7 linked regions of the Cricetulus griseus genome follow. The protein of the gene in region 1 interacts with the protein of each later gene in a biochemical or structural test. Links are inferred from orthologs where the notes say so. Each region holds a gene or a part of one and is shown in the gene's direction. Other genes may lie near its edges.

Region 1 (3,956 bases):
TACTTTGAAGCTTTCCATCGTCTTAGGTTTGGAAACGCCCAATGTCCAGATCTTTCTGTTGAACTTCCAGCAATGGATGTAGTGATACGCTGGCAAATATTTAACAAGCAACTCTCTGGAAGAAAAAGCTAAGGTATGGTTTGTCAAATTTCTCCATTTCCAAGTAGAACATACTTCCTTGGAGGCCGATGCCAGGTGACCAGTCTGACATCACTGAATATGGCCCTGAGAAGGAGGACAGCGGTCCTAAGTGTTTGCAAGCCTCTGAGAACCAGCTCCAGCACCTTACAGGAAGAGTAGCCACCCTTCCCCCAGCCCAGTGTGGCCAGTGAAGGCCATTAGACAAGTCTTTGGCGGGGAAGAGGGCGGAGAAACCTGCTCCTCCAGCCAGGGCCTGCCCAAGGGAGTCCTGGGAAACTGCCGTTAAACTTTAAGCAAGTCTTGCAAACAGGAGTGGCTACTTTGCCTGCTGTTCATGAGGATCCTGAGCAGCCCCGTTCTCTCTTCTGGCTCAGTGGGCTACCCTGGCCACACTTGCACTCAGCAGTGCGGCCTTCAGATCCCAGTCCTGTCCACTCCTACCTACTTCACAACGGGAGGAGGCTGGAACAGGAAACTGATGACTGAACAAACCCTGAGGCACCTGGCCTAGATGTGAACTTAGATCAGCCTGACTCAAAGCTTTGCTCCTTCCTGGCCTGCTGGGACATACATTGTACCCTGAGGCTGGAGCCTCTTATGTTCTGGGAGGATGGGAACCTGCCCTTCAGGAGGGGTCTCCACCAGGAGAAAGCTCAGGCCTGGTGCCACATTAACCTGGTTGGGTCTCAGTTGGCCACCTGTGAGATGGGAGCACTTTCAAGGAAGGAGGATGGAGGCAGATGGTCGGATTCATCTTTCTAGAGGGGAACGGAGGAGTCAGAGGTGGACCCCCTCCCTGGCCCAAGGGGCAGCCCTAGAACCTGGACAGGGACTGGCGTTTGTGAGGGGTGGTCTTTGAGACCAACCTGAAACCACATCCCGCCCCCTTATCCCATTTTCCTTCTCTACTTCCTGTTTGGCTGATCCTGCTGTCCTCAGTGGCTGACTACCTGCATACTTCCCAGCAGATGTACGTGGTCTCTGCATGCGCTGAAAATGAATTTAGGGCTGGCCTGATGCTTGCAGTCCCTGCCCTCCATAGGCAGAAGCTGGAGCCTCCCACAAGTTCAAGGCCAGCCTGTGTCACATAGTGAGCCACTGTTTCGCCTCTTGATACATTTTAATAAAGCTGCCTCTCTCCTCCTCACTCTGCCCCTCTGGTCCCAGTCTCTGGTTAAAGACAATCAGGTCAAAGCTGGTGTGGCCAGTTGCCTCAGTTTCCGTGTCTGGAAGATAGTGCTAGCCATCGGTGCGTAGCTCAGGTAGCTAGGTTGGTCCGGGGCGAGAGGGCGCCCCCGCGGGTGGAGCTGCGGGGAGGGGGCTGGGTGCGGGAGGCGCGGGGCCCGGCTCGCACAGCAGGTCCCCCGGGTCGCCGGCGGGGCCCGGGTCCGCGCTTCCTTCTTTCTCCGGCTCGCATCGGCCGCGGCCCCTCCTCCCGCGCGCTCCCTCCCCCTCGCCGCTGCCGCCGCCGCCGCCGCCTCCTCCCTTTCTCTAGGTCTGTCTCTCCCGGCCCGGAATCCACCCGGCCGCCCCGCCGGAGCGGCCAGGCCGCCGCCCGCCAGCGCTGCGCGCCCCGCTGGGGTCCGCCCGGGCGCGTCCGGAGCCCGCGGCCGCGCCGCAGGTGAGCGCCCCCGCCCCGCCAGCCCCGCGCCCCGCTGCGGGCTCCCGCCCTGCCCACTCCCCGCCGCGGCCCGCGACCTGCCCGGCGCGGCCTTTTGTTGGGATGCGCGGGGGAGGCCGGGCGGGGCGCGGGGGGCACCGGCGCGTGGGGACCCTCGGCCGCAGAGTCCCCAGCCCGGCTAGGCCACATCTGAAAACCCGGCCGATCGGCGCCGCCCGCGATCGCGGCTGCGGGGCCCTGCGCCCCCGGCCCGGAGTGGGGGTTGGGGGTGGGGTGGGCGCTGGGGACTGGGCTCCCTGGTGGCCACGCGACCTCCTTGGGTCTCCGGGCCTCGGTTAGGGCCTGGTGCTGTTGGCCTGGCGGAGACTGGGCCACTCTGTCCTCCCCTCACCCCCGCCAGCCCCCAGCCTCGCCCCTCCTCGGGCCCAGCGACCTGCCGGCTCCGAAGTTGGCAAAAGTTTTGGTGTTTCAGTACCACTACTAGGTCCACTTGCCCACCCGGGCAGGTACTGGAGGTGAGTTTGTGTCCCCACTAGAACCACCACTTGTCATGCTGTGTGTCTTGGAGACAACTGCCTTAGCTCTCTGAGCCAAGGCCCTTCTCAGTGATGGGTAGACGGCCAGGACTGCTAGGCTGGTTGAAGAGTGGAGTGGACAGAGGGGACTTTTCCCTGGGTAACCCCTAAACCTCTAAGGTATTCAGAGGGAGAAAAGTGGACAGAGACGTGTGAGGCTTATGAGGCCCTAAACAAGGTCTTCCCTGACTCACAAACTGTGTGAGCAATGGTGATGGGTTCACCTGGGTGGAAGTCAGATTCAGTTTCCAAGGTGGGCATGGGGGCGGGGCGCGTGCGGGGGTGGGGCGGGGCGGGCGGGGATGGGGCTCTTTCCAGACTTTTGAGTCCAAGCATCAAAGTCTCTTGTTTTCCTGGGTGATCTGAGCTGGGGGCTGCTCCTTGGATCCTTCACAGCAGTGACAGGGTCCTCAGGTGATTACTCCCTGTGCTTCTGGCAGCTAAGGAGTTGGCATGCATGGGGTGGGGTGTCAATAAATGAGTTCCACCCTGGAGCCTGCACAAGATGACTGGGGTGCTTGTGGCACAGCTGCCTGCAGGAGAGGGTAACTGTGTCTCGAAGGGTGCCCTAGAGCCTCAATATCCGAGCACCCTCCTGTGGCCCACAGCTGTGTGAATATAGTCAGCTCTGGGTTCCTTTTGCCTCAGTCTTGTCAGAAAGGAATGATCAATCAGATTGTGAAGGCACTCAGTGGTAGAGCACAGGCTTCGCATGCCCAAGGCCCTGGTGCTAGCCTTGGCACTACAGGACGGACAGATAAATCAGGTGGAGCCATGATGATCAGAGCTGTTGAGGTTCACTGAACTCCTCCTGGGGCTAGCTCAGTCTGCAGCTGGAACTGGAACTTAGACTTCAGAGGAGCTGGCTGGCTGCCCTTTAACCTGCAGTGACAGTGAAGGCTGTATAGTTTGGGGTCAGGAACAAGGCATTGTTGGAAAAAGACTCCTCCCATATCACCCCCACCTGGCAGAGCCATAAGGCCCTGCTGGAGATGGGGTGTGTCCCGGTGAGGTGGCCTTTCCACAAGGGGAAGTGACTTATAGTGTGTCACCTCTCAGCTGACTGCTTGTATCCTGGGGTACACACTGAGAATGAGTGTTAGGGGCACGCCCCATCTCATGTTCATCCTTGTTCTTCCAGCCTTAGGGCAACCCTATCTCTCCCACCCAATCCTCTTCTGTTTCCTGTCGTGTCCCTTTCCCCAGCCCCCCACCAGCCTCCAGCTTATAGGCTGCCTCCTGCTTGGGCTTTTACCCCATTCTCATCTGACAGTAGGGGTGGGAATGGAGCATGTCTGGGTCCTCTAAGTCCCAGGATCTAAGGAGGACTGGCTAAATGGTTTTTGTCCCTGTTATCCACCTGGTCCTCGGCTGTCTTTGATCGTACATTGAGCACTTACTATGCACTAGGGCCTGTGAACTTTGTTGAGCAGCTTTGTGGTAGGAGGACGACAGCTTCCTGAAGGAGGAGCTTGAGCTGGAGCAAGCAGTGGCCAGCTAGCCAAGAGTGCAGCTGGACCAGTGTTCTTCCCCTCTGCTCAGAAGGTCATCTGCCTGGGGACTTGCTGGGAAATTGTGAACAGGTCCTTGGCTTCTAGAAACTGGAGTAAGGCGGATAA
Region 2 (4,032 bases), on another chromosome or scaffold:
AGGACCAGCATTCATACCAGCAGTAGGAGCACAAGAGAACTATACAGCCAACACGGATTAAGGACTGGGCCTGTGGTCACCTTTTTACAGAATAAAACAGAAGGCAACAAAATGTATAAGCTAAAGGGCCTCAGTCTCACCATTGCTAGGACCACAGGTGTGCCATCTCCCTAATCTATCTAAAATGTTTCTTGGTTTGTTTTGGGGGACTAAGCGTCCATTAGATACCCTAAGTCGCCAGGAGCTCCTAATGGAGATCAGACTTGTCTCAAACTTTCGTTAAGTCTCCTGAGTTTCTCCCTCCTCAGCGCAGGTGTACACTACAATGGTGCATCTTAATCCGCCCTCCTCCATGGGGGGGGGGGGAAGACACATTGAATGCCACTGAGTGTAGAGGTCAGAGGACAACTTGTGAGAGCCGGTTTTCTCCTCCCACCATTTAGGGCCTGGGGATAGAACTCAGGAGACAAGCAGAGTTACCTGCTGATCCGACCCCAGATGCGTCTTTCCACAAGAATTCTCTCGCCAATTTTGAGCCTGCTATAATGGAAAGCTTAGTATCCGACTTCTTGGATGCCCTGTTTGGGTCTGGAGCCCCTTTCTCCCGGCCTTTGCGTCTCTGATCGACCCTTCTGAGTTGCACACTGGCAATAAGTGGCTTTTAGTCTTCTATCTCTCCCTCCAGGCTTCCCTTTCCACACCCAACGCTTACTCCTCGGGTCAGCCTCTCCCAGCGCTCCCAGCGTCCCATCCCGTTGGGGCAGTCTTTCCCTCTCTTCCGGCCTCACACTGCTCTAACCCTCCTCTTCCCCTCTCCGGGTCCCCAGAAGCGTTCTTTCCATTTCCTGGCTGGAGGGACGGCACCAGATGCTCCTCAGAAGCACATCTCTCTAGGGACCTTGCGAGGCTCGGCCGTTGGAGGAGGCGTGGCCCTCGAATAAGTCCTCCGCTGCCCCACTCTCGGCGGGCCCGCGCGCAGACAAAGACATTCCAGAGCCCCCGCCCCCTCCGCCTGAGTGGGGGGGGGAGACACGTGAACCGCTAGCACCGAGTCACGTGGAAAACAAAAAAAAAGAAACGAACGAAGGAGGCTGGCGCCCGCGCAGGCGCGATAGACCCGAAGCCCGAGCGGGGAGACGACGTCTTTAGTCGGCGCAGGCGCCGTGGCCAGACTGGGGACTTTGTTCTCCGCGGAGAAACTCAAGGGCGGTGCCGGTAGACGTCTGCGCACGCGCGCCGCCTCATTTCCGGTGCTCTCTCGCTGGGTCGCTCGGGTCGGCTTCGGTCGCTGTCGCTCCCGCTCTTCCACCCCCGCCAACCGCCGCTCGGGCCTCGGCTGCCGCCGCGTCGCTTCCTCGCTCGCTCGCCACACATCCTCCCCGATGCAGCGCCGGGACGACCCTGCCGCGCGCCTGACTCGGTCCTCGGGCCGCAGCGGCTCCATGGACCCCTCAGGTGTCCACCCCTCGGTGCGTCAGACCCCGACTCGGCCGTCACCGCTGCCTCACCGGTCCCGGGGAGGCGGAGGTGGGCCCAGAGGGGGCGTCCGGGCCTCGCCCGCCACGCAGCCGCCGCCGCTGCTGCCTCCCTCGGCCACGGGTCCCGACGCGACTGTGGTCGGATCGGCGCCGACCCCGCTGCTGCCCCCGTCAGCCACAGCCGCGGCCAAGATGGAGCCGGAGAATAAGTACCTGCCCGAACTCATGGCTGAGAAGGACTCCCTCGACCCGTCTTTCACTCACGCCATGCAGCTGTTGTCCGTAGGTAAGCGGGTCTTGGCGCACCCTCGGCTTTCCCGGTCCTGGCGGTGGGTGGCCGCCGCTTTGTTCCTCTTGCTCCCGCCCCCTCGGAGCCCGGGCATCGGGAGTTCCCTTCTCGACCCTGGCCTTCAAGATCCTGGACCCACAAGTCCCACCCCTGCTCAGGGTGTGAGGGGAGATTTCTGAGCCTCGGAGGAGTCTCCGTGCGTGCGCGCAGAGCTTGATGGATAGTACTGTGCTCCCGCCCCCCTTCCCGACCCTGTCTCCTCCTCTAGTAGTTGCCCCGCGCGCCGACGACCAGATCTTTCCAGAAATGAACCTTCTTTGCCCCGCTTTCCCAAAGGGGGGAGGGGAATTTGCCTTTTGATCGCGCGTGGTGGAGAGCGCCTTGACCCGGGGTGTAGGGAGGAAAGACGGTCGGAACCGGGAGGGAGGCAGGGCCGGGATGCCGGGCCGGCGCCGGCGCCGTCACCGTCTACCGAGCCGTGCGGGATTTAGCGGGAACTCGGATTTAAGTTACTCAGAGGCTGGAGCGACGAGAGAACCGGAGCTTGAGATTTTTCTCGAGTTCAGTTTTCCACATCGGCCTGTCGAATAAGAATTGCTGCAGACCCGGACGGTTTTTCTCCTTTATTTTAAAATGTGTCTTGACAATCACGCAGAAGTAGAGCGAGTAACTAAGGAGACTCTGGGAAGAAATGATAAAGGGAGGTAAGGGACTGCAGGTTCTTTATCGTGAGATGAACGAGAGAAATTGGTCTTGTTTTAGTTTGGGCTTGAGAAGAGATAGTTTAGGAAAGGTAGCCTTTGTTCTTTGCTTGCAGACGGCGAGCTCTCTTGACTTCATGACTTAGTTTTCTTATTCAGACCATCTGCTTGACCCTCATTTATAGTTAAGGCATGGTTTTTAATAAGTATTTCTTACGACATCTAAATATTATTTAGCATATAAAACCCTTAGTCCGTCTCACTAAATGAGTAGTTGGACTCTGGCCAAAATGATACCGTGGACAGTTCATTGTGAAAATACCATTATCTGATGGAGAGAGATGGAACAGCGGTTAAGAGCACTTTCTGCTCTTCCACAGGGGTTCGGTTCCCAGCACCCACATCACGTGGCTCACAAACACTTGTAAAATTAGCACCAGGGGAGGGGGATCAGATACTCTTTTTGAACTACAGGCACTCAGGTACGAATCTGAAGTGAAATAAAGGGAAAATACCATTTTCCTCCATTTGTTCTCTGTTTCCTAGGATTGGTGAAGGGACTTTACTATTTTTGCAATAAAAAAGAAGATTTAAGGATGTGATTTTCTTTACAGACAGGTATGAAAACAGCAATTAAGGGTTTTGTTTTGTTTTGTTTTGGTTTTGGTTTTTCAAGACAGGGTTTCTCTGTGGCTTTGGAGGCTGTCCTGGAACTAGCTCTTGTAGACCAGGCTGGTCTCGAACTCACAGAGATCCACCTGCCTCTGCCTCCCGAGTGCTGGGATTAAAGGCGTGCGCCACCAACGTCTGGCTAAATTAAGGGTCTTACAAGTGCAGTAAAACAAAAAGCTGGGTCAGTAAATACAAACGTTTAGATCAGTTGGTTGCATTTCAACTTAGTGCCCCTATTCTGCTCTTTGTTGGTTTTTCCAGATAAGGTTTCTCTGTGTTTTCCTGGCTGGCCTGGAACTTGCTGTGTACACCAAGCTGACCTCAAACTCACAGAGATTGGCTTGCCTCTGCCTCCCAAATGCTGGGATTAAAGATGTGTGTCACCACTGCCTGGCTAGGTTCTTATGTTTCATGACAAGTTACTTACTGGTAAGAATTTTCTTTTTTTTTTCTTTTTTAAGGTCTCAAGTAACTGAGACTGGTTGGCGCTCACTTTCTAACCAAGGATGATTTGAACTTATGTTCCTTCTGCCTCTATTTCCAGAGTTTGGGAGGTATGAAGTGCCTAGGATAAAACTCAGAACTTTATGCACGATAGGCACTCTACACATTCAGGCCATCTTTCATTTTATTTATTTATTTATTTTCATACTGGCTTGCAAATAACAAACACCAGTGTTTGGTTGACTGAGAACAAGTGCCTGCAAGAAAATCACTATGATTAAGGTCGACTTAGTATTCTTATTTTTAGTTCCTCAAATCTTTATAACCTGACAGGTTAATTGCTGGAGAATTAAGTGGTTTTAAGAAGTTAACTTTGGAAACTGATCCTTAACTAGCTAATCTTGAGAAATTTACTCAAATGCTGGGTTTGAGGACTAAGTTATATGTA
Region 3 (3,500 bases), on another chromosome or scaffold:
ACCCACCTATACCCCCTCACCTGCACCCACCTATACCCCTTCCCCTGCGCCAGCTTATACCCCCTCACCTGCCCCAAACTATAACCCTGCGCCATCGGCAGCCTACAGTGGGGGCCCTGCAGAGTCCACCAGCCGCCCACCCTGGGTGACCGATGACAGCTTCTCTCAGAAGTTTGCTCCTGGAAAGAGCACTACCTCTGTCAGTAAGCAGACCCTGCCCCGGGGGGCTCCAGCCTACAACCCAACAGGTCCACAGGTAACCCCTCTTGCCAGGGGCACCTTCCAGAGAGCTGAGCGCTTCCCAGCTAGCAGCCGGACTCCCCTCTGTGGCCACTGCAACAATGTCATCAGGTACAGGCTTCGGTATGGGAGGGGTAGCAGATGGGAGGACAGATACAGGCAAAAGGCCAGCCCCACAGGGCAGCCTCAGGTCTCTCTGGCTCAACTCTATGAGCTTTAACTTCCATACCTGTGTGACACCCACATCCCTGGGGAATCGGGAGGATTCCATGAGGTAAGTGGGTGAAGCTCCCAGCTTGGTGCCTGGTGCCAGGAGCTCCCCCTTGGGCTAAGGCTGGGTTCTGGGAATCTTCAGCCTTGTTGTCAGTAGGTTTATTGAAAGCTAGGTGACAGTGCTGGTTTTGACCCAGCTTTCCTATAGAGTTGCTTCTGGATCTTTCTACAGACAGTCCCATGCCTCTTATGGCTCTGATAGACACTTCACTGAAATTAAAGCAAGTAATGCCCCTTAGAAGTCAGGGGTCTCAGACCATGCTTGTTAAATGCAGTATGTCTGTGTATATATGTGGTATGTGCTTCCATATGTGAAAATCTTTAAGAAACAAGCAGAGGCCAGGTATGGTGGTGCACACCTTTGGTCCCCAGCACTAGGAAGGCAGAAGAAAGCGTGTCTCTGTAAGTTCAAAGTTAGGTACTTCTAAAAGCTAGTTCCAGGACAGCCAGGGCTAGAAAGTAAGATCCTGTCCCCAAAACAGAAACAAAATGAGGAGATAAGAATTAGAAAATACAGAACTGAAAAAAATTAGAACATGAGGTTTTCTGATAGTTCCAGTGTTCTGAATACCAATCAAAACTGAACCATCATGTTTGTAGTCTACTGCTTCCTGGCCCTATGACCTTGAATGAGTTCCTTGGCCTTCCCATGTCTCTGTGTTCTTTACTGATAATTAGGCATCATAATAGTTCCTCCTTCAAAGAATTGTTATGAGGATTAAATATATTAACAAATGTAAGTTTATTCTTGAAGGGTATCTAGCACGCAATAATTTAATAAAGGTTAGACACCATCATCATTGCTCTCAGAATAACCTGTGAAAAACTGAACTATGTGATTTTTACTCAGTCCTCTGTGGTAGATACTTAGATTGCTTCCAGGTTCTGTTTGTTAGGTTTTGAAATGTGTGTTCCTTTATGACAGAATCTCACTATGTAGCCCTGGCTATCCTGGAACTTACTGTGTAGACTTGAACTTAGAGATCTGCCTGCCAAGTGCTGGTGTGCATCCCCATGCCGCATTGTCTGGTTCTATTTATTGTTACTGACATGACAATAGACATCTTTCTGCATGGAGCTTCCTCAGAATTACATGTTATTTCATTAGAACAATCCTCAAAGTGGACATTACTCAGCAAATGTATGAATATTGTTGGGGGTTCTTAAAATATCTGGTTCTAATTTCTGGGGCTCATTTTAATGCTCTTCTCTGCCATGCCAGGGGCCCTTTTCTGGTAGCCATGGGCCGCTCTTGGCATCCAGAAGAGTTCAATTGTGCCTACTGCAAGAACTCCCTAGCAGATGTATGCTTCGTGGAGGAGCAAAACAATGTTTACTGTGAACGGTGCTACGAGCAGTTTTTTGCCCCGCTCTGTGCCAAGTGCAACACCAAGATCATGGGGGTAAGTGGGCAGCATCCCTCTCCTTTGACCCTTGTCTTTTCTTCAACTGGACTGACTTGCTCCCTTCCCCTTGCTCCCTTCCCCTAAGATTCTGTGATCCTATTAGAAACACTATCAACAAGTGGCTGATAACAGAGAAAACAAGTCCATTTCCATCCTAGAATGGAATTGGTTTGCCATTAACTACTGAACCAGGGAACTAATTAACTTAGGCAAGCAATGATATACACATATGCCACCAGCTTCGAATAGTGCTGGGGTTCTGAAAAGCAAGTTCTTGCTTCACAGCCTGACCTCACCGCTCATCTGCCTGTGGCCCTGACTCTCAGTGTCCTTTTGGCAAAGTGGCCCTAATAAGCAGGACCTCCCTTCTCCACCCTCCCCTGCCTTCCCCAGCATCTGCTTTGTGAAGCCCTTCTGCACCGTTCCTTAGGCTACTTGGACAGCAGCCAGACCTGGTGCAGAAGCCAAGTCTAGCTCCCTTTCTCCTGGGAAACTTTCTGTCCTGAACTCAGAGTCTTTCCTCCAGGAAGTGATGCATGCTCTGAGACAGACATGGCATACGACCTGCTTCGTCTGCGCAGCCTGCAAGAAACCCTTTGGAAACAGCCTCTTCCACATGGAGGATGGAGAGCCATACTGCGAGAAAGGTAGGCCTGTGAGACATGGTACAGATAGGATGCAATATGACACCATGCTGGAAGACCCTGTACCATGTCCCACCTGGGTTGACAGGCAGGCATAGAAAACCAAGTCGTGCCTCTGTCCACTCACATCCTACTGTAAGCGGGAAGACAGGGTCTTCTGTGTTTTCTTTCCTATGTGGTACTGTGAATCAAACTCAGGGCCTCACATAAGCTCCTGACTTTGCTTTTAATGGCTGAATCATGCTATTATACATTAGCTGAACTATTTCCCCTGCTCATTTGGTTCTAGCTTTTGGAGAAAAGGAGTGAGAATTACAATGCATTTATATACCAGTCTCTGCTCCCTTCCATGTTTCTAACATTTGAGTCACACATTGTTCCATAAACCTCTCAGGCTATGTTGACATGGAAACCTGGGTCTAGTGTGAAAAGGGCCTTGGCTCTAGATGTCATCCTAGGTTCTATTCCTGGCTCCACCCTGAGATGGCTTTGTAACCCTGAGTAAAGCTGCTAAACACATGCCTGGTAGAGCTGATTTGAGGATGGAAGCAGGGCAGGGCCAAGGCATGGGATGCTCAGTGCCCTTCCCTTCCTATGGTGGTGCTTTTCAGGCTTCCTTCAATATCTCTGTACCTTGAAGTGTAATATGCTATTGTAACATGTGGGGAGTTGAGGAGTCACAGACTAGCTGGCCTTTTAGCCCTGCCCCCTTCCTTCACAGCCTGCTTTTCTCAGGAAGCGTTCTGCCTAATAAGGGGAGCATAGACTTGAAGGCTAACACAGCAGCACCAGAAAATCAGATGAGGAAAAACAGGGATATCTATAGTAGGATCTGATGTCCTCACATTAAGTTGTACATGCAGACAGAACTCTCATATACATTAAATAAATACATCTTTAAAACATAGTATTAGTCATGTCTGTGCTATCAATTTTT
Region 4 (3,500 bases), on another chromosome or scaffold:
TCCTGCAATTTCCTCTTCTACACACTTTATCTTCAACCATCACTCATGCTTTCCAGATTTGTTTCTAAAAGTCTGTGGTACAGTGGCGTTTAGTGCCAGCAGCCATTTGAGTCCATTCCTTTCACCTACCCTTGAGATGGTACAGCCACAGAAACCTAGCAGTGAAGAGTTGACAGAACCTGGCAAAAGTCACCAGGTCGGGCACTTGGAGTCAGGGCACAGGTCCATGTCCAACCTCTAAACCATTGCTCCCTTTCTGGTTTCCTTCAGTACTTTCCTCACTTAGAGGTCCCCAGGGGGCTCATTCTCCTTGGGCCATCCTGACCTGATGGCTGGGAAAGGGAGTTTTTATTGAGCCTGAGTTTCTAGTCATACAAATGTGCCAGATCAAAGTGTCACATGCTTTTATTTGGTTTCCTGGTATAAGCCCACACTGTCGATCTCTTATTGTAGGTGTGCCGTTCCCGTCCCACCAGTGGATGTACAGATCCAGAACGCTTCTGTGTCACCATTTGGAAAACTAGTGGTTCAGAGTTCCATAGACTCCAGTGTCTTGCGGCACAACGGCACAGTGGAGTGTAAGGCCTACAACGATGTGGGCAAGAGTTCCGCCTTCTTTAACTTTGCATTTAAAGGTAACAACAAAGGTATATTTCCTTTTGATCCAATTTAAGGGGATATTTAGGCTCTGTGTACCATACCATGATCTTAACTCCATTCCAATATTGGCCATAACATTTCTGGTAATGCCTACATCACACTGTGCTGTCATCAAACTCACAAACTCTCATTCCATACTAGTCTGCTGATGAAGTTTTGATTTTATCAATGTAATATTAGCCATTTTGCTTTACTTGTTCTCTTTGTGTTTGTCCGAGCTTCTCGACAAGTTACATGTGTGCAGTTATAGTTGAGTAAGGGAACCTTCCTTCATTCTACTCAAGTATAATTAGGAAACTTTAAAAAGTTTAAATTCACTGGATGTGGTGGGTGGTGCACAACCTTTAAGCCCAGCACTCAGGAGGCAGAGGCTGGTGGATCTCCATGAGTTTGAGGCCAGCCTGGTCTACAAAGCGAGTTCCAGGGCAGCCAGGGTTACACAGAGAAACCCTGTTTTGAGAAACATAAGTAAAAATAAATAAATAAATTCTATTTATGACTTTAGTTATTTAAGATGAGTTACATTTTCTTAAATATCTGTGTCAAAATATCTTGTCAGCCAATAGTTTTTCCCCAATTTTATTTGTGTGTGTGTTTGTACATGTGTGTGTAGACATGCTTGTGCACCTGCACTGTCAGAATCGTACAGAGCATGTGCATGCTATGTGGATGGCCTTCTGTGGGCTGTACTCCTTGTCCAGCCAGTTCTTTAGGTTCTGCTTCCTGAGTGACTAGCAGGCCACATGACCCTTGAAGGCACTGATGAATGGGCATATATGAGACAAGGAAACTGGGCATCTGAGTTTGCTTTTAGTGCCCAGTTTCTGTGGTGTCCAGCATTGGCCATAGGGCTCATGCCAAAAAGCTGCATGACCTCAGCCTTTGGATAAGGAAGAGCAGAGGCCTAACACTGCTCTCTGTATTGTTACTTTTCCCAGACAGAGCAATGAAAAGGACACCTCGAAAATGCCTTTCCTCTCTGCCAAAGGCATTGATGTTCAGGGTAGAAAGTATAAGAGAGCAGGAAGAAAATGCAAAGCACCCAGAAAGGAAGTTCATTCAGATGTTGCTTTTTACTGAAACAGCATAACATTATGTGTATGCTACAGAAAGTTCGTTTTCTTTGTAATCTGGTTTTAACTTACATCTCTGGAGATGCCTGCACGTCCAGTGAGGTGTGAGGTGTGAGTGTGGTGCAGTGTCAGAGCACTTACCCAAGTTTCATCCCTAGCACATAGTAAAATAAATAATAATAATAATAATAGTAATTAATAATGAAAGAAAGAGAGGAAGGAATGATGCGTTTGAATACCAAGAGTAAGATGTGTTCCCTGCATGCGCCATGAGAGAAGTTCAGTTTGGGACAGGTGGTGGTGGCCAGGCTGTTGTCCTGCAAACGGCTCACAATCACAATTCTCTTCCCTTGCAGAGCAAATCCAGCCCCACACCCTGTTCACACCACTGCTCATTGGTTTTGTGATCACAGCTGGCTTGATGGGCATTATTGTGATGGTTCTCGCCTACAAATATTTACAGGTGACTGTTGATTTCCTCCCTCTCCCCCGGATGCCGCAATGACCGAGGCTTTGATTGTTAAGCGGTGACATGTCTTTCCCTTTCTCCTCCAGAAACCCATGTATGAAGTACAATGGAAGGTTGTCGAGGAGATAAATGGAAACAATTATGTTTACATAGACCCAACACAACTTCCTTATGATCACAAATGGGAGTTTCCCAGAAACAGACTGAGTTTTGGTCAGTATGAAGCTGGGGCTTTCCACGTAGCTTTTTTTTGGTGTGTGTGTACACATAACAATGATTTTAAGGAACCTTCAGTGGCTTCCTTTGTCTTGTTTCACCTGAAACAAGAAGTGCCTTCTGTCAAATGTTACAAAAGTTGGCTGGGTTAGCAAAAGGAAGACTATAGTGAAGTTTCTCCAGACTCATTCTCCTTGAGTTGCCTTGTTGGTTTTGGAACCGTCACAATTGTCCACCGGGTCTTTCCGCTGACCTTGTCTTCCTTTCTAAAGGGAAGACGTTGGGTGCCGGTGCCTTCGGGAAGGTTGTTGAGGCCACTGCATATGGCTTGATTAAGTCAGATGCTGCCATGACGGTTGCTGTGAAGATGCTCAAACGTAAGTGTCCAGAGCGTCCACTACCTGCCCCCACCACCAGTTTGCCTTGTGGGTTTTTCTTTTCTTCATTTTGCTAAAATACATTGTTTTCCATTTTAGCAAGTGCCCATTTAACGGAAAGAGAGGCCCTCATGTCAGAACTGAAGGTCCTGAGCTACCTGGGCAATCACATGAATATCGTGAATCTCCTTGGAGCATGCACCGTGGGAGGTGAGTCTTGTGTCTACAGCACCTGTTGCTGTCTGTCGGGCTATCAAAATATGATTTGGACAGTGCTTAATTATAAGCTGTTTGGGAGTTGTTGTTGTTGTTTTTTCCAGTATTTTGTTCTGTTTTCCTTTCCTCAGCATTCCTAAGAATGTAGTTTTTTCGTTTTTTTGTTTCAGATTCCTGTCCTTTTGTTACTTTGAGATGAGGGCTATAGTTGCCACACTATGTTGTAGAAAATTGGGATTACTCCCCACAAGTGTGTTTTGGTGCCCATTACTCAGCCTCCCATTCCCCTCCCACTCGACAGTCCTAAGGACCTCTATCCAGCTCTCTGCAGATCAACATCTTAACTCCCACAAATGTGTGGCAACACGCAGGATGTTTCTTTGTATAGAGCCACTCACACCCTCCTTTGCTCATTATACATTGCATGCATGTATTGAATTATAATACCCTCCCCCTTTAACAGGTACAGGGATATAGCTTTTGGCTGTA
Region 5 (4,221 bases), on another chromosome or scaffold:
CTCACCCACTGATGTGACTTATCTCCCCTCTTCAGACACAGTGCCTGAGGACTTTGAGCCATTCCGGAGGCAACTGCTCCAGGGAAGGGTGTGAGGTGCCGCCACCAGATTCAGAACCCTGACTGGAGACCTTTGACCTTGGACTCTGTTCTGGAGACCTTGGGGTCTAATCTACAGCTCCTCAGCCTAACTGATGGTTCTCTGGCACCCATCAGGGAGCGCAGCTCCAGAGGGGTGGTGACCCCATTGTGCAGGGGTTGGGGGACCTTCAAGGGGTATATTACTCAGGTACGAACCCCAGGAAAGACATCATCAGCACATTGCCATAAAGTTTCAGCTATTTTCTAAGTCAGTGCAATCACTTATTTTAGGCCTTTTCTAGGACAATAAGGAGCCCGAGGGGTTAGAAAGGCTGGTAGCGCAGGTTAGAGAGCCAGGGAAAGTTTGACTGAGTTGGGGTGTGGGTGGGAAAAGTACCAAATGAAGGATGAGGTTGGAAGATGGGCTAAAGTCCTTCCAGCCCCACTTACTCACCGTGGCGGCGGCGACCCTTCTAAGCTCCGCAGTGATCGAAAGCCCAGGGCTGGGGCTCCCCCGCTCTGGGTGAGGGGGCGCCGGGGGGGCCGAGGGGGCCGGAGGCCGGGACGAGTGCAATATTGGCGGGGGAAAGAACAACACTGCACCGCGTCCCGTCCCTCCCGCCCGCCCGGGGCCCCGGAATCCCGCTCCCTACCACCTGGGCCTTTGGAACCCAGGGACTGGGGGCGCTCTGGAGAGTTGGGGTCACTTTAGAGTTACACCAGAGCCTGGGTGCCCGAAGGGTGAAAGGGGGGGCGAAAGGGTGAAGAGAGAAGGGGAACCCCCCCCCCCATGCCCTGGAAGGCCACTTTGCAACGTCGAAGCAGTGCGCGCGCTTGCTCTTTAAATACTCAGACTGAGAGGCGCGGAGCTATTGTCATGGTGACTGGTATCCCAGCAACCAAATTGACTGGCTGTTGCCTGGCAATCCCAGGAGTTGGGGTTTGGGGCCCGCCTACCTAAATTCTTGTGGGCGCGCTGACGTAGGGCGTCCTCACTCCGCCCAGGGCCGGCCTCACAAAATCGCTCAGAGGCGCGATACACGGCGGGAGCGTGGGTCCCACGCCCCCATTTACGCACCTCCGAAAAGTTTCTAAAGTATCAGCTTCTGTTTTGTACTCGTTGGGACTAAGAATTGTTGGCCTACTACAGTTGTAACTGCAAACCTACGCCTGCAGGATCTGGCCTGGTACTCTGAGTCCACATGCTGCTGTGAGCCCAAAGCCCTCCCCGTCCCCAACTGTCCCTGCCCTTCAGAATACCTCTCGGTTCTCCCTAAATGCACGCGCACACACACACACACACACACACACACACACACACACACACACACACACACACACACACACGGGTTTGCCCTGCACCGCGTGGCGTGCCTGTCTGCTCCAAATATCGTTCCTCTCCCTAACACAGCTCTGAGCTCCCAAATTTCATGGTCGCCCCTTCTATTCTCTGCCTCCTAAATACCTAGCTGCCTGAACATAACCTGTCCCACTCCCCCTCCCACAATCCGAAGTCCTTATCGCTAAACTTGTTGCCCCCACCACATACCTTAGGTGCCCCCCTCCCCGCACACTTAGCCTCTCCCCCGCCCCCCAGACATCTGAGTAACCCAAGCACTGATCCTTGCTCCTCCACCGCACTGTGCATTCCTTCCTACCTATTCTAGGCGTTGACTCTTTTCGTCAAGGCCCAACCAACTTCCCTAAGATCTCGGTCTCAACTTGGGGTGTGCTGTCAAAACTCCCCACAGGGTCTCAACTCCTCGGCCACTCGGCCCGTGCGGGTTGGCCGCGCGATGCTCCCGGTGACCACTAGAGGGCAGGCGTTCCCGGCCAGAAGGACCGGCCAGCCTGCCACTCAAGGTGGAGAGTTGGGTAGGAACGACCTTAGGCTTCGGTAGAGCCCCAGTTTCGTCCTTTTTAAGTGGAAATTTCCCCCCACCGCCTTTCTCAGGAGCAAGCCAAACAGGGACCCAGGCTACTGGAAAGCCTGGCAGGGGCGGAGACTGTGGTTTTCAGAGTACAGGGAGCGGTTAGAAGGGTGGAGCTATTCCGGGAAGTGATGGGGGGAGGGAGCCTGAAACTAGCGACTTGTCCATTATTATCCAGCCCCCTTGTGTCCTCTCAACTTATGGAAAGCCGTTTTTAAGGATCCGCAGAGAGAATAGGAAACGGGATTGGGGAACCTAGGGATGGGTTTCCCTGGGCTAGTTGTCCAGGGCCTTTCTGTGCTCCGTTTCCCCATCTTGACCATTGCTCTGGGGCTAAAACCAGAGCCAGGGGGCCCCAGGTCTCCTCCACAAACACACCTGGGGAAGTCAAGGAGAGCTTGGTAAAAGGGGGGAAGCCAACTGGAGAATAAACAAGTAGTCATAAGATTGAGTGATTGGAGCCCAAGTACCCTACACAGGAATGGTTGGGGAGGAGGAGGAAAAGATAGGGGAGGGGGCGGAGTTTTGTCACCTGTCACCTGCTCTGGCTGTGCCTAGGGCGGGAGGGGTACTGGTATAAAGCAGCGGGCACCAGAGCTGCTCCACCGCACACACGCCACAGCTCCTGCCTTGAGTCTGTTTCTGCCCTCTTCCCGCCTCTTCACCACCACCATGACCCCAGGCATCCGGGCTCCTTTCTTCCTGACGCTCCTTCTAGTGCTTGTAACAGGTGAGAGGCATGAGGTTGGGGTGGAGGTGCGTTGTTCAGGTGGGACTCCTCACCGTTCTTTTGCTTGCTGTTAGATGGCATAAAGGATAGACAAAGATGACCCAGTTATGTGCCAGAATGAAAGAGGCTAAGGACACAGGCTGAGAAGATGTGACCCCCAAGAGAGTAGGCACCGTAGGAGGCAAATGCTCTGATGTTTGTGGAGGTGGGTTGTGTCAGGAGAGACAATGGTAGTGGGAGAATGGGGCCATGTGCCGCGGTTAGGTTAGGGCCAGCTTGCAGTATGAATCCTTGTCTCAAAAATAAGTAGTGGAGGAATGAATTAGCCAGAAGCAGGGTTGAGTCTTTTAGGGAGGGAGAGATTAGCCAGGGAGGTTGTCAGCAAGGAAGAAGGCAAACAGGGACTGCCTGACGCCAACCTTATACCCCTTCTGGGGTTACTTTGGTTTTGGAGTTTATATTTTTCTCCTTCCTCTGATTTTATTCACCAACCCAGTAGTTTTTACAATTTCTAAATCATGCAGGTTATCCAAAGCAACCTAGTATCCATCTCTGTTGAGAGGTGTGTGAGCATAAAAATGGTCTACTCCCCACCTTCAACTCTGGTTCAGGCTTTCTTGCCCTTCCAGATCAAAACAGTGTCGTCTTATCTCTGGACACCAACAGTTCCCCAACCTTGAATACCACTCCAGTCCACAGTGGTTCTTCAGCCCCAGCCACCAGCTCTGTAGTGGACTCGGCCACCACTCCAGTCCACAGTGGTTCTTCAGCCCCAGCCACCAGCTCTGCAGTGGACTCAGCCACCACTCCAGTCCACAGTGGTTCCTCTGCCCCAGCCACCAGCCCTGCAGTGGACTCGGCCACCACTCCAGTCCACAGTGGTTCCTCTGCCCCAACCACCAGCTCTGCAGTGGACTCAACCACCACTCCAGTCCACAATAGTTCTTCAGCCCCAGCCACCAGCCCTGCAGTGGACTCAACCACCACTCCAGTCCACAGTGGTTCCTCTGCCCCAGCCACCAGCTCTGCAGTGGACTCAACCACCACTCCAGTCCACAATAGTTCTTCAGCCCCAACCACCAGCCCTGCAGTAGACTCAACCACCGCTCCAGTCCACAATAGTTCTTCAGCCCCAGCCACCAGCCCTGCAGTGGACTCAACCACCACTCCAGTCCACAATAGTTCTTCAGCCCCAGCCACCAGCTCTGCAGTGGACTCGGCCACCACTCCAGTCCACAATGGCTCCTTGGTCCCAACTACCAGCTCTGCGCTGGAATCAGCTACCAGTTCAGCCCACAGTGGTGCCTCTTCTATGACTAATAGTTCTGAACCAGACTTGGAGACCACTCCAGTTTACAGTGGCACCTCTATCTCTACTACCAAGGCTACTTTAGCCTCTGCCATCACCCCAGTCTACAATGGCTCCTTGGTGCCAACTACCAGCTCTGTGTTGGGCTCAGCCACCACTCCGATCAGTAAT
Region 6 (4,009 bases), on another chromosome or scaffold:
GTTTGGAAGTGTATGGCTGTGGCAGAATTTTTCCTCCTCTAAGAGCTGAGGTCTTACTTAGTAGACGGGATGACAGAGTTTCTTTTCAGGAAGAAGTTCGATATTCAGTAACAGCTCTCCTGGGATGGGGACTAAGGGCAGGTGAAAAATCGGAAGAATGATATTTAACCCGTTTTAAGTTCCGGTATTGTTAATCACAATCATACAGTTTTTAATTCTCCAAACTAAACCTAAAGGTAGTTTGGAGGTGAGCCTGTAAAGAAACTACCTTTTACTTCTTGTATTTGCCTCTCCCCCCCCCCCTTTTTCTTTTTTTAAAGGAAATAAGTGATAGTTTATTCTGGAGTAATGCTGATTGGTCACTTTCTTTAACTTCCTGATGGCCTTTAGCAGAGCTGTGGCAGGAAGCTGTGGGCAAAGGAATATGGGCTTGGTGTTATTATGCACTTATGGCCAGATCCCAACCTCTGGTATCCCTTTCTTCTTCCTGTCTTTATTAACACTGATTTGTTTATGGCCCTATTATCCCTTTGTGGCTTGTAGGCACCAGTTCTGTTTGTTTCATTTTCAGACCTCCAAGGCCAACTCCTCTACTAGTGTGAGGGACACTGTTGGGTGGACCTTACAGCCTGTAAGGAGAGAAATATGTCTGTAGGTCTAAAGGTAGCCTGATTGTCTCTACATCCTCTGGAAAGGGGTCCAGGAAGTCCATTGGTCCTTGGTAGGTAACAAGCCTAAGGGACAGGCTTGCTCTAGCTCTTGCCTAGTAGCTCCCAGACCACCGCCCAAATTGGCCTTATTCCTCCTGTTTCAGCTTTGCTTCCCTCTTGGCCTCGATCTACACCCACTGGGACAACTTTCTCTTCCTGGTTCCTTGCTCTTGTCCACAGCTGTTGTGGCTGAGGATGCTAATGGCCCAGGTTCCCTGGGGCTGCCACCTCACTTACTGTATGGTGGGGGGTGGGGATGGTCTAGGCTGTAAGAGAAATACTAAACTCTAGATCACCCCCCCCCCTTTCCTCCCTCAGCAGCTTCTGTTTCCTCCTTTATCCCTCCTAACCTTCCGGGCTTCCTGCTCTCTTTGGCTAGCCCATGTCAGTTTGGATTAATCCAGAGTTCCTCTTAACTCCTTCCTTTCCTTCTTTCCTCTTTTTCTTATTCTTCCATCTTTCTCTCCTACCTGGCACCTTCATCCTCCCCAGACAGACCCTAGTTGTTTGTATTGGGTAAGGGAGAGTGGCCTGGCTAGCACACATTGTGTGAGGAGGTGTCTCTGCCCCTCTGAGCCTGTGAGTCAGCATTGTCCTTGGGATTGGTCTCTCCCCTTGGTTCCCCGCCCCTGGGGAGGAGCCAGTCAGCTCTGGGTCCAGCCTGTACTCCTCAGCCATAAGAGGCTTCCTCGCAGGGCTGGGCAAGGATGTGGCCTGAAACTGTCTTGGTCTGACGTGGGAGAGCAGAGGCCACTTGTCCTTCGCTTCCCTAGGTCCTCTGTTATCACCAGGCTGCAGAGGTCAGACCAGGCTAAGGGCCTGGGGATGCCCCCTGCCTGGCCCCCTTGCCTGAATTTGGCAGGGGGGCCAGGCCGGGCCAGGCAGCAGCCCCCCTTCTCACCCCAGCCATGGATCTTCTACCCCCCAAGCCGAAGTACAACCCACTTCGAAATGAGTCTCTGTCATCGCTGGAGGAGGGGGCTTCAGGGTCTACCCCCACAGAAGAGCTGCCTTCCCCGTCAGCCTCATCCCTGGGACCCATTCTGCCTCCTCTGCCGGGGGATGATAGTCCGACTACTCTGTGTTCCTTCTTTCCCCGGATGAGCAACCTGAAGCTGGCCAATCCTGCTGGGGGGCGCCTGGGGCCTAAGGGAGAGCCAGGAAAGGCTGCTGAAGATGGGGAAGGGAATGCAGGGGCAGCCCTTCGGGACTCAGGCCTCTTGCCCCTCCTCCAGGACATGAACAAGCTGAGTGGAGGCGGCGGGCGCAGGACTCGGGTAGAAGGGGGCCAGCTGGGGGGCGAGGAGTGGACCAGACACGGGAGCTTTGTCAATAAGCCCACACGAGGCTGGCTGCATCCCAACGACAAAGTCATGGGACCTGGGGTTTCCTACTTGGTTCGGGTGAGTGTACATCCTCCTTTCTGCCCCCTCCCATTCCCCATCCAGTTCCTCTGCTCACTCCAGATTTGCTGGGACTTCCTGCTCTTCCCCCAACATCTGTGGCATTCCCCTAGTTCTTAACCCTGCCTGCCACATCCCTTCTCCAGTTCTATGCCTTCTGTTCTAGCCTGGGAGTCTTCTGCCTAGGTCCCCTTTCCTTTGATCCCTACCCCCAGCTTACACAATGGTCAAGCACATCAGAGGCTTTTAGTAAGTGTTGAATGAAAAATGACTTCTGGGTTCTTCCCTCTAGACTCCTCCCTTTTCCATAGCTGTCACTCCATCCCACCCAGTGCCTACAACTCCTCTCACAATCTCTCCACAGTGCATGAAGGTCCTCTTTGGTGGCCCTTCTTCACTATGGGGTGGTGGCCCCAGGAAGTAGGAAGGCTACTTTACCTTTACTTCCCTTAGGGACTACATAGGGCACAGTCCTAGAACCTTCTGCAAAGGGTGGGGTATTGCGGGGAGGGGGCAGCTGATCCATCCTTGCCTCCTTCCCCCACAGTACATGGGTTGTGTGGAGGTCCTGCAGTCAATGCGAGCCCTTGACTTCAATACCCGGACTCAGGTCACCAGGTTAGTGGAGAGGCAGGTGTATTGTTGGAGTCTTGTATGGAGGAGGAGGAAAGGTGGGCATTTGGTGGTGGTGCTGATGGTGACTTCTCATGGGGTGGCTAAGAGACCTGAAAGTTACACCAGTGTGTCTGACTGCAAAGAGCCAGCTCTGGTCTGGAGCACCACCTTACCCACGCAGCCTGGGAGACTGTGGGACGATGGATTACAAAAGGCTGCTTTTGGGAAGGGAATGGCAAATTTGGTAACTGGGAAGAGGTGGGGCTATAACCATTGAGGCCCTAACCCAATCAGCCAGGAAGCAGCCCCTCAGTGTCATCAAATATTAAAGGCCCTTAATTCAATCCACCACGACAAAGAGCCTGGAGTGCTCTGAGAATCTGGCCTGCTCTTCCCCTCCCCCAGCTTTGTGGCAGCCCCAGGCAGTGGGAGGCCAGGAGTAGGTCTGAGTACCCCTGTTTCTCTAGGGAGGCCATCAGTTTGGTGTGTGAAGCCGTGCCTGGTGCCAAAGGAGCCACAAGGAGGAGAAAGGTATGTGTGGTTGTGGTGGGCAGGGGGAAGGCAACCGCAGGCACAAGGGGAGGAGACAGAAGTGTCTCCTGGTGTTGCCAGTGCTCAGGTTCTGAGACTTGGGGCCTTTCCTAGCCCTGTAGCCGCCCACTCAGCTCTATCCTGGGGAGGAGTAACCTGAAGTTTGCTGGAATGCCAATCACTCTCACTGTGTCTACCAGCAGCCTTAACCTCATGGCAGCCGACTGCAAACAGGTGGGTGGGGCTGCTGAAAGGGACGGGGGTAGTTATGGGATGATGGGGTGGGGGGATCTGGAGGCCAAAAACCTGGAGTCCTCAGGAGCAACTGGAGAGTAGAGAAGGAAGAAATTAGAGGGCTTGGGTATAGTGACAAATTTAATCCCAGTACTCCAGAGGCAGAGGCAGGTGTTTGAGTTCCAACTATACAGTGAGACCCTGCATCCCTGTTACACCCCCCCACTCCCCCCACCCCCGCCAAATAGAACAAAATTAGAAGAGTGTAGGATTAGAAGCCGAGAGAAAGACTGGGCGCCAAGGTCATAGCTGGGGTGAGGACACGCGGGATCTTGACCACTCCCTTCCTTCTCCATCCCCTGCCCACATGAGAGAATGAGAGTGGGTGCCAAGGTCATAGCTGGGGTGAGGGTACACGGGACCCTGAGGCTGCTGACCTTGATTGTTCCCTTCCTTCTCCATCCCCTGCCCGCATCAGATCATTGCCAACCATCACATGCAGTCCATCTCGTTCGC
Region 7 (3,928 bases), on another chromosome or scaffold:
TTCTCTACCCAAGCCTGAAAACAGCCCTCCACAGCAAGGGGGCCCCCAGAATTGCTTCCCCTAACTCAGACAAGACAGCTTTGTTCTGGGGGCATTTGGCTTGGAAGCCCTGGTGTTCGGGTTAGGGCCTCCCAACTGCGCCCTGAAGCTTCCATCCCCACTATCTGCTCAGCTCTCCACTCTCGTGTTTCCGCTCCTTTAGCAATAATGTAACTGTCAGTTGGTTGGCTTCCCCGACTCCATCCCAAATCAACTTTCCCTCTGGTCCACCATCCTCTCCATCCCCAACTCCTCTTTCTCTTGGCCGGCAGTGACTCCCCTACCTTCTTCGCCTAGGCAGAGCTCCAGAGGCTGGAAGCGGAGTCCTGGTCCTGGAGATTAGTTTTAGGACTTCCCAAAAAAAAAAAAAAAAAAAAAAATTCTTCGGCCAGGGGAGACTGGACCCCCCCTTCCTCCCCCCTCTTCGTTGGTCCCTCCCACGTCCCCTAGAGCCTCCCACATTCCACTTTCTCCCTCCATTCCAAGCCAGGCCAGTCCCCTTCCTCTAGATCTTCCCTCCCCCGTGGAGCTGCTGCAGCCGTCCCCCCCCAGCCCCCCCCCCCACTACCCCGCCCTTCTGCCGGCTCAATGAAGCTTTCTTTTCCCGCAGGTTGGAGGCCGGGTAGCCGCTGTCAGGATGCTGGACTTGTAAACGGTTTCGTGATCGGCCCCTGCGGCGGCGGGAAACTTGCCAGCCTCTAGTTGTTCCTCCACATCCCCAGTTAGGCAGAGTATCAACAGTCCAGTTCAACTCCAGGATTGGGCCATGGGAGCAGGTCCCACAAGAGGAATTAATGTCCCGAGGACCCCCCTTGGTGGTTGTAGTGCCCCCGGGGTGCCTGCGGGAGACGTCACGGCCTTCACTCTGATGTCACGCTAAGCATATGACGCCACTCTCAGCCCCCCACCTCCCAGGCACCAGGGCCTTCTAGTTGACAATCACGGCTTCCCTGAGTGGCACCACTGTGCGAACGAACGGTAGGATAAAAGGCCCCAGTCGGCTTATCTGGGTACCCCGACTTCTTCCTGCTGGCTCCTCTTCCTCCATCCCCCATCGTTGCCGCAGGGGCCCAGGAGGGGCGGGCACGCCTCCGGCACCCTGCAGCCCCGCCCCGCCCCGCCCCCCGCCCTCGGGGCCAGGAAGCTGGGAAGGAACCGCCGGGGCCATGGACGGGGCTGTGATGGAGGGTCCGCTCTTTCTACAGAGTCAGCGCTTCGGGACCAAGGTAGTGTGAGTGGGTTTGTGTGCGGCGTGGGGGATGGCGAAACCCCTCCGGACTAGAAGTGGGTGAAAGCAGCCAGAAAGAGGAAAGGGGCCGGAAGCAGGTCGGGACGCTGCTCCGGCAATTGCAGAGCCCCATGAAGTTCCCTTGAAGCCCCACGCTGTGCCCTTCTTGGGGAGGAGTTGGGATGATGGCATTATCTTTGGGAAAGTGTCCCTGCCTGGGAAGCCCCAGACTCAGATCGGCCTGCGTGTGTTTCTCCTTCCCCGTGGGGGCGTGCTGCCGCGAACTCCCGCGTCTTTCATTTTTTCCCCCAGAGGTGGAGGAAAACCTGGGCTGTGCTCTACCCAGCTAGTCCTCACGGCGTAGCGCGTCTGGAGTTCTTTGACCACAAGGGCTCTGGAGGGGGTCGAGGCGGCTCTCGCCGTCTGGACTGCAAGATGATCCGCTTGGCTGAGTGTGTGAGCGTGGCCCCTGTGTCAGTGGAGAGTCCCCCCGAACCCGGCGCCACTGCCTTCCGCCTGGACACCGCGCAGCGCTCGCACCTGCTGGCGGCGGACGCCCCGTCCAGCGCCGCCTGGGTGCAGAGTTTATGCAGAAACGCTTTTCCGGTGAGGGGTTGGGGGTGAGCGGCCCTGGGCCTAAGGAGCATTACGAGAATGGGGCTTATTAGAGCGGCACTGGACCTCCTGCACCTACTCCAGACCCAAGGGAAATATATATATATATTTGGAGTCTGTCAGCTTGGCTTTTTATATATATATATATATGTGTTCCTTTTCCTGCAGAAAGGCGGCTGGGCTTTGGCGCAGACGGAGAACCCGCCTAAGTTTTCTGCCTTGGAGATGCTGGAGAATTCCCTGTATAGCCCCACCTGGGAAGGTAGCTGCCTGGCATGAATGGAGTGGGGAGAAGACGTGGTCTTGGGAGCTAGCGATTGGAGGCTACCAAGTCCCTAACCTGCCCCAGCGCTCCTTCCCCTTTCTGTGTGTTCCTTCCAGGCTCCCAGTTCTGGGTAACCACGCAGAAGACTGAGGCTTCTGAACGCTGTGGCCTGCAAGGCTCCTATATACTGAGGGTGGAGGCTGAGAAGCTGACCCTCCTGACTTTGGGGACCCAGAGTCAAATCCTGGAGCCACTCCTTTTCTGGCCCTACACTCTGTTGCGACGCTATGGCCGGGACAAGGTGCAGGGGCTGTCTGGGAGGATGACTGTCAGGGAGGACTTCGGGTTGGCTAGCTGTAGATGATCAATTCCATTCCCAGGTGGTCTCTTCTCCTCAGATACACTAACTTGGTAAGATCTGTGACTCATCTTTTATGACACTCCTAACATGTTTCCCTCCACACCCTCAGGTAATGTTCTCTTTTGAAGCTGGTCGCCGCTGCCCCTCAGGCGCCGGAACCTTCACTTTCCAGACTACACAGGGAAATGACATCTTTCAGGCAGTTGAGGCTGCCATCCAGAAGCAGAAAGCCCAGGGAAAGGTGGGACAGGCACAAGATATCCTCAGAACTGAGTCCCATGAAGGGGAGGCAGAGGTGAAGGTGACTTCCCCTCCTGCTCCTCAGGAGCCCCTGGACAGCCCCCCAGCCCTATATGCTGAGCCTTTAGACTCCTTGCGAATTCCCCCAGGCCCTTCTCAGGACTCTCTGTACTCAGACCCTCTGGGTAGCACCCCTGCTAGGGCAGGGGAGGGGATGCATTCGAAGAAACCTCTCTATTGGGACTTGTATGGGCACGTGCAGCAGCGGTTGCTGAAAGCCAAGCTGACAGACTCCAAAGAGGACCCCATCTATGATGAACCCGAGGGCCTGGCCCCAGCCCCTCCCCGGGGCCTTTATGATCTGCCGCAGGAACCTAAGGATGCATGGTGGTGCCAGGCTCGGCTGAAGGAGGAGGGCTATGAGCTCCCATACAACCCTGCTACAGATGACTATGCTGTGCCACCTCCGCGAAACTCCAAGCCTGTCCCTGCTCCCAAGCCGCAGGGCTTGGTCCTTCCTGAACCTGGTACCACAGGAGGCAGTGGCAGCAAAGACCACAGCTCAGATATGGCTCTGTACAGCCAGGTCCAGAAGAGTGGGACGTCAGGGGGTTGGGACTGTGGGTTTTCTAGAGTAGGGAATGACAGGACAGGAGTCAAGTCAGAGGGCTCCACCTGAGACAGTTGCTGATAGTTTCATGGGGCCGTGGCATTGACAATCAAATCTGTTATAACCAGCAGGAACCAGAGGGTGGGAGGTGCCTAGGTTAAGACTAGGGGACCAGAGGCATCAAGGGATGACCAGCTCGAGAACTGAGTGATATAGGCTCTGGGACTAGACCTATGGAAGGGGCCTACTAGTCAGAGTGGAGGCACTTTGGGGAGGCCAGTGTGGCTCCTTACTTTTGTATTGTTCTTTGCTAGATGTATTTTTAATTTATAAGACAAATTTCATTAAAGCCAGTTTGGTTTGAAAAAGTCTCTGTGTGTGAATAGACACAGTGGCGGCATGTCCTGGGAGGGCGTGAGGGGATCAAAAGAAAAACCAGAGATATGTTGGGGACCAAGGAAGGAGGAAAGGGCCCCAGAGAGGAAAGTCTACAGTGTGGTGGCTCAGGGCCTGGGTGGTCACAGGCTCACCTGGGAAGGTCTATAGCTCTGTGACCCTGGGTCAGCTGTC

Evidence for each region.
Region 2: the proteins of Src (region 1) and Khdrbs1 form a complex in vitro, tested with the Homo sapiens proteins (8 studies listed by BioGRID, with this or other methods). The link is inferred for Cricetulus griseus from reciprocal best matches to the Homo sapiens genes SRC and KHDRBS1.
Region 3: the proteins of Src (region 1) and Ldb3 interact in a test that uses a peptide from one of them, tested with the Homo sapiens proteins (2 studies listed by IntAct, with this or other methods). The link is inferred for Cricetulus griseus from reciprocal best matches to the Homo sapiens genes SRC and LDB3.
Region 4: the proteins of Src (region 1) and Kit form a complex in vitro, tested with the Homo sapiens proteins (3 studies listed by BioGRID and IntAct, with this or other methods). The link is inferred for Cricetulus griseus from reciprocal best matches to the Homo sapiens genes SRC and KIT.
Region 5: the proteins of Src (region 1) and Muc1 form a complex in vitro, tested with the Homo sapiens proteins (2 studies listed by BioGRID, with this or other methods). The link is inferred for Cricetulus griseus from reciprocal best matches to the Homo sapiens genes SRC and MUC1.
Region 6: of the proteins of Src (region 1) and Shc1, one has a biochemical effect on the other in vitro, tested with the Homo sapiens proteins (4 studies listed by BioGRID and IntAct, with this or other methods). The link is inferred for Cricetulus griseus from reciprocal best matches to the Homo sapiens genes SRC and SHC1.
Region 7: the proteins of Src (region 1) and Dok1 form a complex in vitro, tested with the Homo sapiens proteins (2 studies listed by BioGRID, with this or other methods). The link is inferred for Cricetulus griseus from reciprocal best matches to the Homo sapiens genes SRC and DOK1.

The regions. Positions count from the first base shown.
Region 1 is NC_048599.1:22,117,671-22,121,626, reverse strand, and holds the start of Src (proto-oncogene tyrosine-protein kinase Src), read left to right. Parts: upstream 1-1,156; 5' UTR 1,157-1,390; intron 1,391-2,147; exon of another isoform or gene 2,148-2,277; intron 2,278-3,956. UniProt on the Homo sapiens protein: Non-receptor protein tyrosine kinase which is activated following engagement of many different classes of cellular receptors including immune response receptors, integrins and other adhesion receptors, receptor protein tyrosine kinases, G protein-coupled receptors as well as cytokine receptors.
Region 2 is NC_048595.1:23,279,753-23,283,784, forward strand, and holds the start of Khdrbs1 (KH domain-containing, RNA-binding, signal transduction-associated protein 1), read left to right. Parts: upstream 1-1,232; 5' UTR 1,233-1,382; coding exon 1,383-1,764; intron 1,765-4,032. UniProt on the Homo sapiens protein: Recruited and tyrosine phosphorylated by several receptor systems, for example the T-cell, leptin and insulin receptors. Once phosphorylated, functions as an adapter protein in signal transduction cascades by binding to SH2 and SH3 domain-containing proteins.
Region 3 is NW_023276807.1:184,830,238-184,833,737, forward strand, and holds part of Ldb3 (LIM domain-binding protein 3), read left to right. Parts: coding exon 1-351; intron 352-1,735; coding exon 1,736-1,916; intron 1,917-2,445; coding exon 2,446-2,566; intron 2,567-3,500. UniProt on the Homo sapiens protein: May function as an adapter in striated muscle to couple protein kinase C-mediated signaling via its LIM domains to the cytoskeleton.
Region 4 is NW_023276807.1:142,126,586-142,130,085, forward strand, and holds part of Kit (mast/stem cell growth factor receptor Kit), read left to right. Parts: intron 1-453; coding exon 454-647; intron 648-2,089; coding exon 2,090-2,196; intron 2,197-2,288; coding exon 2,289-2,415; intron 2,416-2,690; coding exon 2,691-2,795; intron 2,796-2,894; coding exon 2,895-3,005; intron 3,006-3,500. UniProt on the Homo sapiens protein: Tyrosine-protein kinase that acts as a cell-surface receptor for the cytokine KITLG/SCF and plays an essential role in the regulation of cell survival and proliferation, hematopoiesis, stem cell maintenance, gametogenesis, mast cell development, migration and function, and in melanogenesis.
Region 5 is NW_023276806.1:65,326,002-65,330,222, reverse strand, and holds the start of Muc1 (mucin-1), read left to right. Parts: upstream 1-1,421; 5' UTR 1,422-2,683; coding exon 2,684-2,741; intron 2,742-3,352; coding exon 3,353-4,221. Other genes in the region: Thbs3 (thrombospondin-3), read left to right, coding at 36-94. UniProt on the Homo sapiens protein: The alpha subunit has cell adhesive properties. Can act both as an adhesion and an anti-adhesion protein. May provide a protective layer on epithelial cells against bacterial and enzyme attack.
Region 6 is NW_023276806.1:65,125,204-65,129,212, reverse strand, and holds the start of Shc1 (SHC-transforming protein 1), read left to right. Parts: upstream 1-1,209; 5' UTR 1,210-1,618; coding exon 1,619-2,113; intron 2,114-2,660; coding exon 2,661-2,731; intron 2,732-3,195; coding exon 3,196-3,259; intron 3,260-3,373; coding exon 3,374-3,493; intron 3,494-3,971; coding exon 3,972-4,009. UniProt on the Homo sapiens protein: Signaling adapter that couples activated growth factor receptors to signaling pathways. Participates in a signaling cascade initiated by activated KIT and KITLG/SCF.
Region 7 is NC_048601.1:74,204,847-74,208,774, reverse strand, and holds Dok1 (docking protein 1), read left to right. Parts: upstream 1-1,128; 5' UTR 1,129-1,205; coding exon 1,206-1,265; intron 1,266-1,579; coding exon 1,580-1,873; intron 1,874-2,050; coding exon 2,051-2,144; intron 2,145-2,263; coding exon 2,264-2,448; intron 2,449-2,617; coding exon 2,618-3,427; 3' UTR 3,428-3,729; downstream 3,730-3,928. UniProt on the Homo sapiens protein: DOK proteins are enzymatically inert adaptor or scaffolding proteins. They provide a docking platform for the assembly of multimolecular signaling complexes. DOK1 appears to be a negative regulator of the insulin signaling pathway.